Neodiprion lecontei: one gene and its partner. The protein of the gene in region 1 interacts with the protein of each later gene in a pairwise test. Links are inferred from orthologs where the notes say so. Each region holds a gene or a part of one and is shown in the gene's direction. Other genes may lie near its edges.

Region 1 (8,184 bases):
CCTAAAAATTATATACGTATGTTAGTAGATTTTCTTGGACATGCTATTGAGTGATCGTTACCTAATAAGTTTCTAAACGAGCATCAGTAATTTGAGATAAACATCACTAGACTAAAAATAGAATTCGAATCTGAAATTGGGTTCAAAAATATTATAGACAAAACAGGACGGAATGACACCTACCAAAAGGGGGACAACCAGCTAACGAATTCCACCAGTAATATTTTCAGCGGGAAATATCAGCTGCGACTTTCCCCTAACCTAAGTTACCAATGAGTAATAAAAAGAAATAAAAGCAATAAACAGATTTTCTCGGGCATCAGTTCAGCCACAGAGTGTCCAATGTATCCCATACAAGTTATCAGTACCAAAAATTGATCGAAATGAATCCTTCAACGAAGACCTTTGCAATCAGCATGTTCACCACGATTCGGGTGAAGAAGGTTCACTTTTAACGTCACATAGCTCACTGTTAGCTACAAACAAGGGGTCGATTTCCTCAGAGGGAGGAAGTGGTTCGACTTTCACTCCAGGCATTTGGATGTCTGTTGTGGAAAACGGTTCGCTTTCATCAATGAACAGTGGTTCGACTTTCAAAATCAGCAGTTCAGGCTCGACAGCGATTTCCATCTTTTCCTCATCTTCAGACTTATGGGGTTCTTTCTTTTTTCTACCGCCTTTCCGACGCTCGTACGGCCCCATCTTAGTTTGTTGGAGAACCCTTCGCGCCGTAGACTTGGCGACACCAATTTCTTCAGCGATGTGAGAGATGGGTTTGCTCGGGTCTTCGACGACTTTGAGACAGATGTCCAGCTTCACTTCATCCTTTAGTCGCTTCAATGGCTGGATCACTTTTACTAATTTTCCATTGAGGTTACCCGTCTCGCGAAATTTTTTTATCACGTTTCTCACCGTTGTCGAAGACGGTATCGGCCTGCTAGGATACGTTGCCGCAAAATGATCCGTAATGCTCCTGTAGCTCAATCCCTGCTCACGCTGCAACACCATCTGTATTTTTTCGGCTAACGAGTACACGTAATTCGGCATTTTTATTCTTTCATTGATATGTCAAAACGTCAACGTGTGGATCAACAATTATCGAGATAACTTTGTGTCCGGAAGAATTCGCGATACTGCCCTTATACGAGTACCGACTACATCTGGAGATAACCGGTCCAACGTCGGTCTAACAACAACTGGAGCTAAGTCTGTGGCTCAAACCTACAATTCTGTCCGCTAAAGACGCTGCGCTGTGCGGTGATAATTTGGCGCGTCTTTTGAACGACAAAGCTTTGACGGCTGGAGGTCTTCGGTCAACGGCTCAAGTATTGACTGAAGAATGTACAAAACTTCAACCAATTTTCATGAGCTAGGGTTCATTTTCTTCGTTAATTAATTTCCGACAAGGTAATGGTGTCAGATTTTCTGTTACGACTCTAATTTATTCTGAAAAAAGCATGATTAGTAAAATCGTTGTTGTTACTTGTCAGGGTTAACTGAAGAATATATCTTTAGTCAACGTTGCCAGACAGTGACGTTAATGTTATCACTTGCGTCGACGGAAGAATTTATTTTCATCAACGACATTTATTATGAATAGTAAAATTGGAAAATGCGCACACGCACAGAACAAGTCTGAATTTACCTGAATTATTCGCATTAATAATCAAACTATCGAGTAACCATATTATTGTACCTGCTATTCGCGGTTTTCAACTTTCGTCCTATTTGCGGGGATATCGTTCCAACTAAATTCAAATTACTGAAATTCCTCAGCTGCTCGATAGTTTCATAACATTTATGTCACGACGGCTATTTTTTCAGTTTACCTCGTTACCGACTGAGGCTGCAATTTTCTACCTTATCGTCGAGGGGAGGACAATCGGTACGGCACGTCTGCCGGCACGTCTGTAATCACCCTTTCTGCGTCTCTCTCTTGACGTCGTGTATAGTGGGGGGAGCTTTTACACGAGGTGGTCTTCTGTCGTGAGTGGTGTTACCCAAGTTGAGGATATTTAGAGCATTATTTTTGCAACGTCAGTTGTGATTTTAATGCATTTCTCTTGATAATCGAACGATCCAAGGTACGTGTTCAGACGAATATTCCCAAGAATTCAATGTTCGAGTTTCACCCGAATGAAAACTGTAAATCCGAGAAAACAAATTGGGAACCTCATACATCTATTGTTTGCATGTATATTCTCCTCGTTTGTTGTTCTACGGTATCAGAAACGTCATTGTTCCCAATCATAATCTGAATAATAATGTTTTATCTATTCTTGCAATAATTAGGACCGCAAGAAATAAACGGTCTCCACAATTTGCCCACTGTACACTCAGAGCCTTGACGAAATTTCGTAATTTTTTTCGTCTCCATTCCCTCTCTCACTCCAACTCTCTTAACGTATTTATAACCCCGATTCATCCTTATATTCGAGAAAAGAACAATCATCTATTCAGCTTGAACAACATCGACACTGTTCCATCAATTCATGCAAGCATCGGTAAAACCAAATTGATCGCTAATAAAAATTCACCATCCTAAATCCCCCATGTCGAACATACTTTTGCCCTGAAGAGTATTTTTTCTCAATCATATTTCGCTTGAAAGTTATTTGTCAAACTTGTCCCTTATAACCAAACAGTACGTTAACAAGTTTGCCATTTTTTCATCCTGATTTTGTATATACCATGCATTTTTGGGATCAAAAGATGCAGCGATACTTATTTTCAATACCACGCAGATGTCGGGCGAAGAATATGAGAGCGACATGGATTACACGGATTCGGATTGCGGCGATCCAGGATACGACGATTATTACAATAATCAGCAATGGGGCAGCGAGGCAGACAACGACATTGATTCAGAGCAGAACAAAAAAGATCCGGAATATGCGATTCACGAGTGCCTCAAAGTCGAAGAGGTAGAAAGACTTTTAAATGAGAATGTCGAAGAACTGAGTAATAGATTACAGATCACGCCATCCCTAGCCAAAGTATTGTTGCATGCCCATGAGTGGGCGCTTCAAGATATTATCCTCAAGTATCGCAACGACGCCTCCGGTCTTTTGGTTACTTCCAAAATCAAATCCTCCCATGAACCGGACAGCAGCATAGCCCTCAGAGGTGCAAGGACTGGAACATGTTTGGTTTGTGTTAATACTTTGTCCCTGGAAAGATTCGCCGCTCTAACATGCGGCCATACCTTCTGCAAGGACTGCTGGTGTATGCATTTCGAAGTTCAAATTATACAAGGCATTTCAACCGGTACGTTCGTCAACTTTTCATAGGTTTCATTACAGACACAACAAGATCCATTACTACTCGTTCATACAATCGTACTATCGTATTATTGTTTCATTTTCTCTAGGAATTGGTTGCATGGCTCAGGACTGCGAAGTACTTGTGCCAGAAGATTTTGTCCTATCTCTCCTTACCAAATTGACAATGAGAGAAAGATATCAGCAGTTTGTCTTCCGTGATTACGTCAAGTCTCATCCGCAGCTTCGCTTTTGTCCAGGACCGAATTGCCAGATAGTCGTACGCTCCAAAGAATTGAGAGCCAAAAAAGTCATCTGTTCCTCTTGTAAAACACCATTTTGGTAACTGCGATTATTGATTGCTTAAGAAAACGTTTTTTTATTCTCTGGCAAATTTGGTATTCATTTCTTGTGGGATTTCAAATCTGTTTATCTTTCTTGTCCAAACATTTCCAGCTTCAGGTGTGGTATGGATTATCATGCACCAACCGACTGCGGTACGATAAAGAAATGGCTTACTAAATGTGCAGATGACTCAGAGACTGCAAATTACATATGCGCTCACACCAAAGATGTAAGTGAACTGAAATGCTGGCTAATTGTGTGGGTAAAAAAAACGCCTGCCCTTATTTAAGTGACTCGTATATTATGAAGTAGACCAACACATTCGTAATCGATTTCAGTGTCCAAAGTGCCACATTTGCATAGAAAAAAACGGCGGGTGCAATCATATGCAATGTTACAATTGCAAACACGATTTTTGCTGGATGTGCCTGGGTGATTGGAAGGCACATGGCAGCGAATACTACGAATGTTCACGGTATAAGGAAAATCCTAATATTTCTCGTGAAAGTGTCCATGCACAAGCTCGGGAAGCCCTGAAAAAATATCTACATTATTATGAAAGGGTAAATAAATAAATACTTATCATATAATATTCAACTCAGGCGAAAGGTTGTGGTAAACTGTTTTACTTTACATCTGAGCGTGAAATCCTGTAAATTGCTCGTTTTTAATCGACCGAAATCTTATTACAGTGGGAAAATCACAGCAAGTCGCTCAAGCTGGAAGAGCAAACACTGGAAACAATAAAATCTCGCATCCACAAGAAAGTAATGCATGCCAGTGGAACATGGATTGATTGGCAACACTTGTTTGAAGCTGCTTCTCTTTTGGCCCGCTGTAGGTATACGCTCCAGTACACATATCCATATGCTTATTTCATGGAGGCAGGACCGCGAAAAGTACTGGTAAGTAAACATAGAAATTCTTCATTTGTCCATTGAAAATCAAGTCTAAACGTTCATTTCTGATATGTGTGCCAGATAAATTAGATGTCGCGCTCAAACTGCAGAAGTTTTTTTTCTTTATAGAAAATTCAACAGTCTCCTTATCTTTATTTAACTTATAAAAGTTAGAGAATTTTTTTGTCATTCGTTTTTCAATAAAAGAGAAAGCGAATGTTTTATTCTATTCTGTAACTATGTTTTTTTCATGCAGTTCGAGTATCAGCAAGCGCAATTGGAAGCAGAGATAGAGAATCTATCTTGGAAAATTGAGCGTGCAGAAACAACGGATCGTGGTGATCTTGAGAATCAGAAGGACATAGCCGAGAAACGGCGTGTAACTTTGCTCAAGGATTTTTTAGAGGTCTGATCCGCGTCTGAATCAGATCGCGGTTTATTATCTTCCGATTAAGACATAATTTTCAATTATGTCCGATAAATCATAACCAGGTTCAAAAACTGGCAATAGAGTCCCCTCTGCTCTTCACGGCAAAGTAGGTGGGTAAAAGAGTAGAACTGAAAGAGAGAATTAATGAATTACTGATGAAGAAAACTAAAGAACCTAGTGATCTCTGCAAAAATACTAAAACACAATTATCGTACAGTTATTTGAAATTTAACGTTTTTATTAGATTGTGCTGCGTTTCTCAATGCAAATTTCCATTATCATACAGGTCATTCGTACTTTTAGCTAATTATTTTTAATCTCCCGAAACATGGTAAACATTCAACAATAAAATAACCTCGAAAATATTTCTGAGAGAATAAAATAACCGAATAAAAAATGGAACATCAGCTATTTCATGCGAAATTTGATTTAACGGTTTGCAAAAATTATTCCATTTACATTTGGCTGTTGCAAAAAGAATACTACACTACACAAGAAAAAAAAGAAAAGAAAATGAATAAGTCAGAATTTGATTAATCATAATTGAAACGAAAACAAAGTAATAAGGCCGAGAATAAGATATTGTAACCAGCGAAAAATTACATAGTTAGCATATTTCAGATTATTCAGACCGTCGTGGTTGTTGTAACGATCGTGATAAAATGAATTTTAGTAATTGAAATTAAGTTGTGCAAAACATTTAAGAAAGTTTGATTCGAGTTTTTGAATACGAATCGTGAGTTATCGTTTGTTGAATATATGTAAGCAAGTAAAACGACATCAAACGGTACAATGATACATGGATATTTATTTTTCATATCAAATAATTAACTCTGTATCTTCGCACAATATTTCCTTCCGAATAAAATATCAGACATTTGACAAAAATGTCTTACACGTAACGAGGCAATTTGTTTTGATCATATACTAGTTAAACCGTTTGATATAGATTTACTTATGTGTTAAATTGTTTTATACTAATTAGTGATTACAAGTTGTATTGCCTGTTTAATGATTATATCATTTTTGTTTCTGAAATTTTTTTTCCCCATTATTACCATTATTATTATTATTATTATTATTGTTGTTATTATCGTTAAGTACAGTTTGTAATGTTTTTTCGTTTCTCTCATCAGTTAGTTACATAATTGTTTCAACACAAAACGATTCAGAAAATCCGAACAATTACTGACTCTCAATAAATGGACACTGATCATAGTAATTATTTCAATTTTAATTTAACACAAACAAATTGTACTCTTGTAAAATTTGAAGAAAAAAGAAAAAAACGTGAAACTTTGATTCTTATGAACGTATGTATGAATATTATGTATATTTTTTCTGGTCTAATCATTTTTTATTTATGTTTCTTATTTATACGAACCAGTACAATTATTAATAATATTCAAACGTACAGCAAATTATTGTCTGCTTAAAGCTCGTTATATGAAATGCAGTAACATCCAAGCCAGGGATTATATTGTAAAGAAAGTCGTTCTGAGTCTATGGGCAGTGAAGCAATAATTCATTTTTATTACTGTTTCATGAAAGAAAAAAATCGCAACGATAAAGTCAGCTAAATGTGAGAATTTGCAAATAAACTTTATGTATTTTTTTGGCGGACGCGTGCGTGCGTAGTTTATCTTGCAATAATCGTCCAGGTCAGTAACAAGATAGAAAAATGGAAATGAGAATATGAATTATAGGCAATCGGTACTCCTGTATAATTGTATAATAAATGAATTTTGGCTTTTGGTTTTTTATTTTATTTTTTTTTTTTTTATCTGTTCCGATAAAGATGTTACGAATTTTCAAACTTATACGACTTAATTCTTGGACTTGGTCACAGCAAGTATATCGTTAATAGCGATTAAGTAAAGTGGTTGGGTGATTTTTATTACCGATCATAATTGTTATATTAATGAAACATAAAATAACGAGTACCTTAAATGAGAAGAATAAAAGAAATGAGCAAAATAGAGAGGGTTGATAAAGAAAGGAATCTAAGATAATTTCAGAAAACTTTGAAAATTAGAGTAACTGTACTGTAAATATTATTAGATTAGTGTACGATTATAATGTGCGCGAAAGATTGTGTGTGACGTTTTCTATGATTACGTGTAAGATTTTAGGGAATTAATAAACATTGTAATTTGTAATTAACGCTTCAATCTACGAAGCTCAAGCATAATTTAATATATTTCTGGTATTCCAACGATAATTATTAGTTTAAGATTAATTATGGTCCACAAGTTTATCGCAAGAAATAAGAAATTTAGGAAAAAATAAAATATCATTGTAATATTTTACGTGGAAATAAATTCGATCCTCGTTATATATGTACGTACGAATTAGTCATTTTATTTCATTGCTTATAATATTCGTCTACTTAAATCAAAAATACTAGTCTAATTTATCCCCCTCCTCTCAATGTCTAGAAATAATCGAATCATAGTTCAGAGCCAATGCCGAAACACTTGATGAACAAAAACACACATAAATGGATTTTAAAGATAAAATTTTCCCAGCCCAACAGTTTAATCTGCAGATACAACAAAAGTGGTTGAACTCGCTTTCATCGCTTCTACCTGAATTATAATTTCCAGCAAAATAGAACAAAAGTATAAAAAAAGGTTTTGTTTATTAATTAAAATTTACACACTATAGTGTATCATTGATAAATTTTGCAATATTTATTATTTAACGCAGATGATAATGTACAATAATTCCTGCAGTCTAATGTGTTGAAAAATCATGATTTTTTTTTTTTTTTTTACTCTTGCACAATTATTCTCAAATTTACAAATACGCGATAAATATTTGTGCACATTTTATTTTGATATATTTAATGTAAATAATAATAAAATTGCATCAAGTTCGTTTATGTAATGTATACCTATATTGAAGTACTTGAACGTACATACGTACAACGTTTTGGAGAAACGTATAGATTATGAAATATGAGAATACTTGTTTTAATTCCGTCCTATGCCGATAATTAAAATATATATATTATCGAACGACGATACTTTAATATTTAATCTGTAAACACAATGCTGTATGCGTTTGATGCGAGACCGTTTTTCATTTCGTAAGTGCAAAAATTGTTCAACGTTGTTAATTAATTGACCATTCTCTAGGTTTTATCAATTTCATCTCCTACTGAGCACTGATATTTATGTGCGTATTAAATTATCCATATTTTTACCATCTCAACAATGTCATATTAAATGTTGAATAACTTTGTGCA
Region 2 (5,035 bases), on another chromosome or scaffold:
ATTTTTATAAAAATTGGTACTCGAAGGTTTCTTGAGTGTCTCGTCCCGAATTTGAGGTCAGATTTGCGAAACCCAAAATGGGGAATATGTTGGAATATTTTTTGTTAAACATTCGAATTTTGGTAAAAATTACTAGTCGGAGGTCTTTGGTTCACCGATAACTAATCTGAAGTTAGATTTCCAAAATTGTAATGTGCGATGTAATATGGGATCTGAGGTCTCAGTAGCGTAAATCGTTAATCACGAATTTGAATTTACAGTTCGAATTTCGAATGTGATGTTATTATTTTTTTTTTTTTTTTGTGAATTTGGAACCATGATGGGACCTGCAGTATAGAAACGGGAAGTTCGAGGGCTGGTTTATAGCCACCCTAAACCGCTTGTTTTGCCTGCACTCCTTTTATGAGCTATGATTACTTACTTTTATTGCCGCGTTCAACGTGCTTCCTCGCATGCTTAAAATGCAGATCAATTCTTCGTATGATAAAAATCATTTGGCCGAAATAAAATGAGATGAAAATCTTTTTAAATGTTGTACGTGAATTGATACTATACCGAAATTCGTTTCTGACGTTTCGAATTAAAAAAAAAAGCATTCAAACTAATATGAGAAATTATAGTATAATTGTTTTTGTAGAACTCAAAATTCTCGAAAGCTCTATCACAGCATCAGACTGATATTGATATCATCGAGCATTTCTTTCTACATTTTTTTCTCCCATCTTAAAACCTTGAGAGTAGACAAATTTCACATTTTTATTGTACTGGACAGGTGAAGTAGAAAAATAAATTTCTGAAATATTATAAATCTCAATAATTTCAATAGAAGATTGTTCATGTGCTCTACAACTTTCCTTTGAAATTTTTTTCAATTTTATGTTCAGATTTTAAGTTATAAGCTAAAAATGTTTTTCCACTCTTTTTAATTTTTTTTCGGTACCCTAAGTGCTGCAACCCTGATACTTCGGAACATATTGTTTTGTGATTGTCAAACACGGCTTACCCCAAAAAATCAGCTTTCTAGTTCGGAAGGCCGATTTCAGAAACATTTTGACTGGACTAATTTTGTACGTTTACTTTCTTTAAATCATACAAAAAATTTCAACGTTAATTCTAGGTGCAAATGTGACTGTAAAAAAACAAGTCGAAGTTTCATACTAGTGTGTAAGGTGTCACGAATCGGCATAATTGAATAATTACTCTAATGTTGTAAACGATTTAATTATATAAATAATATTACATTATCACATATAAGTCTATTATGCATGTGCATACAGTTTTACAAAATACAATATTGGCGTCCGTACTGCATTATTGATTGCAACGGTAATGCAGCTGTTATAAGAATGTCCTTATGTAGATTATAATGTTAATATTAACAAATAAAAAATTTAGTTTATATTTTATAACAGGCATGTATTGATTCCATTCATGAGCTTATTAGTAACCATGATTTTGTAGCGAATAAACCCCATAGTAAAAGTAAAACCGAACGCAGTTATCCCGCAGCTCCTGTAAGGTCATGCAAATCATACGATTTGAACTTAGCTACGAGGGTTTCAACGACTACCAGCAAGACAAGGTAAAATATTACTATATTCAAATTCAATAACATTTGTGTACGGAAACTGGAGGCAAACTTCAATCGACGAATGTTGAATAAATTATAATAGAATAACTGATATGCAATATGAAACATTCTCGGGTTCGCACAAAACGAAAATGAAAATACAATTTGCAAATGATGCGAAGAGCGAAGCGAGATCTTCTATCTGGTATTGATAATTAGTGAAAAGTGATTTCTGTGGTAGGATCACACGTTCCGTGCCATGACGTCCTTGAGATAAATTCTCAGCGCGCATTGCAGAGAATTCTGGGCCATTCACTGCCAACTACAGCGGGAGTCTTGCGTTCTGAAAAGGTTCCGAACCAACGTTTCTTGAACGGACGACTTCCGCCCAGTTTAGTGAAATTTGTTATATTCAAAATGGCAGCCACACGGAGGCTGCAGAAGGTAATTTGACATTTTTCAACAATTTCATTCCATAGTACTTATATATGATTAGAATTAATGATTATAACCTGAAAAGACACATAGGACGGGAACGTAACGTTGTGTTGGAGTTATTTTTTATTTCCCGTTGACAAATGTCAAAAATTTTTGAGTGACCAATTTAGCATTTACAATTTTTCTTATCAGCGGGAAACGTTATGAATTGATTAATTATTGAATCCGACAATCATTCGAAGTTTTTCAAATTATTATTCTTAATTAAGTTTACCTGCGTTATGAATCATTCTTACTAGGATTACCACTTAAGTGTTTCGTTTTTTTCCTCTACCACCATTGTCACGTTTTAACTGTTCTTTTTTTTCGCAGGAACTAAGTGACTTGAGGGCGTCAGCCATGAAAAATTTTACCAACATCCAAGTCGACGAAGCTAATATTCTTACTTGGCAAGGTCTTATCTTACCGGTATGTTATATTTGTAATTAGTTTCAAACATAACCTAACTTACCTGCTCCAAATCCGCTCTGTATGCTTCTGTGTATTCACGCAGAGGTATTCATGCATATATGTATATATACACATGTATAAGTATGTGCATGTTTCTATGAACTTTCCAGATTCACCTTACATGCATGCATGATTCATCAGTGGTATTTGTGTATTTGAACAAGCACAAGCATGCTCCGATATTATAGGATTAAATGAAGGTCGTAATTGTGTCATCATTTTAACATCAAAATATCAGTTTATTAGGAGGCTTCATTGAATTGTACTTCCTTTACATGCATGAGGAATTCCTTGATGATTATTCATATACATCAACCAATGATCGTTGAACTGGTAACAGACCTCACACTCGATTCAAAACATATACCAATCTGTTTTTGTTTAGTATTGAAGTTGAATTAAAGCACCAATGAAGTAATGGGTTCGTTTTATTAAAATTTGGTTAAAAACTTTGTGTGGAGCAAATCAGTTCCCTGAAATTTGAGAACTTAAGCAAGAACTGAAATTTTTCATGTAGTAGTAGGTACAAGTTACTGCCAATAGTAAATTTTGCTTGTGTTTTGATTCAGTTGTAATTGTTTACACGACCAGAGAAACAAAAAAAATATGAAATCTAATTTTTTCATGAACTGTAATATATTTCATCGGAAATAAAAAATTTTATGTCAAACTGCTAATAAAATCACTTGAAAGATGATCAAAAATATTGTATTTTTTACAGACAGTTGTTGAAATTCAAATATTTCTTCCCGATGAATTGCTGAAATTGCATGTCCGTTAATATGAATTCCACTCTAGTAATTTGAAATTTTAACCATGTCGATGAACTTGTTACACTTACATAAGAATCTTGAATTTTACGTTGTTTTTGGGAAACCAATGTGAGAACAAAATTGGAAGAAAATGCTTTGATGCAATTGAAAATGTATCAGTATTTTATAGTTTTTAAACAATGTTAATTATAACTATTCTAGTTGTCAGATGATTAAATTTAATCTACCAATAAAATTTCAGGATGATCCTCCGTACAACAAAGGTGCCTTCCGTATCGAAATAAATTTTCCAGCAGAATATCCATTTAAACCACCAAGAATAAACTTCAAAACAAAAATATACCACCCCAACATTGATGAAAAGGGTCAGGTGTGTTTGGCAATCATCAGTGCTGAAAATTGGAAGCCTGCCACAAAAACCGATCAAGGTAAAGTGGTTGTAATATTCAACAGTAATAGTTATCTCAATATTCTTGATCAACAATCATGTTCCACGAATCGAATTATCAGTATTCTTGTAAAAATCAATTGTTTACATTATTCATACGTTCACCTTTAATTAAGAAAGTCATTCCGGCATATTTTTATTTATTCATTCTTAATAACATATTTCTTGATGATGTTAGTAACCACTTTAAAATGTCTGATACAACAAATAGCCCAAGAAAATGAATAACCGACATAACTTTTTCGACACTTTTTTGTTATACCTTCATCTCTAGTGATTCAAGCATTGATCGCATTGGTAAATGATCCTGAACCTGAGCATCCACTGAGAGCAGATTTAGCAGAAGAATTTTTGAAAGATAGAAGAAAGTTTTTCAAGAATGCAGAGGAGTTTACAAAAAAACATGCAGAGAAGAGGCGAGAATCGGCTTCAGCAGAATAACATCGATTAGCCTAACTCACCGAGATGCCTGTTTGTCCGCCCGCCTCATGACCTAATTGGTACCCTGACTTGACTCAGAGAAAACCAGGATGTTGCTAGCTTCAGGGCTGAAATCCCATCGTACAGTATTGGTTAATTGATTTAAAAGAGAATCAGAGTAAAAGAAGAAAAATTGAAGAAAAAGAAATGAAAATCATAATAATTATTCATAAGATGGAGAACTTTTAATAATATTATAAATTATAATAATAAATATTGTATATCATTCAATAGAAGCCATCAAGGGCGGTTTTGGTAGCCATTGATGTCAATACCCGATTTTCCGTTATTGTTACTAATTCATAATAGGGATCAAATGATCGCGACAATACAATGGTAAGACCACTTTCAAGAAGAAGCCTTTTGGAAACGTACACTGACATCATATCACACATAATTGATAGTTCGTTACTATTTTTATTTTTTACTCACGAGCTTGTGGTCGGGAATAGTGTGTATTATACAAGACTTAAACAGCTGTGTATTATGAGTAACTTTGTGCCAAATTTGTCAAGAATGTGCTTTCAGAGCTGCTTGATTGGTTATCAGTCAGAGAAATGATTCGATATCTAGAGAAGTAAGCGTATTGGTCCTTTACTTTCTAATTTAAAGTTGCAGTTAATTGGCTTGAGGTTGCAATAGGACTATGCTCAAACGCCATTTGGTGAGAGGTTGAAGAGAGCACTTGTTGCTTATTTATCAAAGATTGGAAATCTGTTTCAGTTTTCATCGAATGCTATATTTTCATTTATTGTCTCGACTTCTATTTGCAACTACGTGGAGTAAATAGTATGATGACAAAATAAATGAATCTAT

Evidence for each region.
Region 2: the proteins of potential E3 ubiquitin-protein ligase ariadne-2 (region 1) and ubiquitin-conjugating enzyme E2 L3 interact in a two-hybrid assay, tested with the Drosophila melanogaster proteins (2 studies listed by BioGRID). The link is inferred for Neodiprion lecontei from reciprocal best matches to the Drosophila melanogaster genes ari-2 and Ubc10.

What each region holds. Positions count from the first base shown.
Region 1 is NC_060264.1:31,209,665-31,217,848, reverse strand, and holds potential E3 ubiquitin-protein ligase ariadne-2, read left to right. Parts: upstream 1-1,924; 5' UTR 1,925-2,084; intron 2,085-2,744; coding exon 2,745-3,267; intron 3,268-3,370; coding exon 3,371-3,602; intron 3,603-3,716; coding exon 3,717-3,834; intron 3,835-3,943; coding exon 3,944-4,168; intron 4,169-4,297; coding exon 4,298-4,510; intron 4,511-4,760; coding exon 4,761-4,916; 3' UTR 4,917-7,410; downstream 7,411-8,184.
Region 2 is NC_060262.1:33,679,511-33,684,545, reverse strand, and holds ubiquitin-conjugating enzyme E2 L3, read left to right. Parts: upstream 1-1,856; 5' UTR 1,857-1,987; coding exon 1,988-2,014; intron 2,015-2,380; coding exon 2,381-2,476; intron 2,477-3,532; coding exon 3,533-3,719; intron 3,720-4,013; coding exon 4,014-4,180; 3' UTR 4,181-4,498; downstream 4,499-5,035.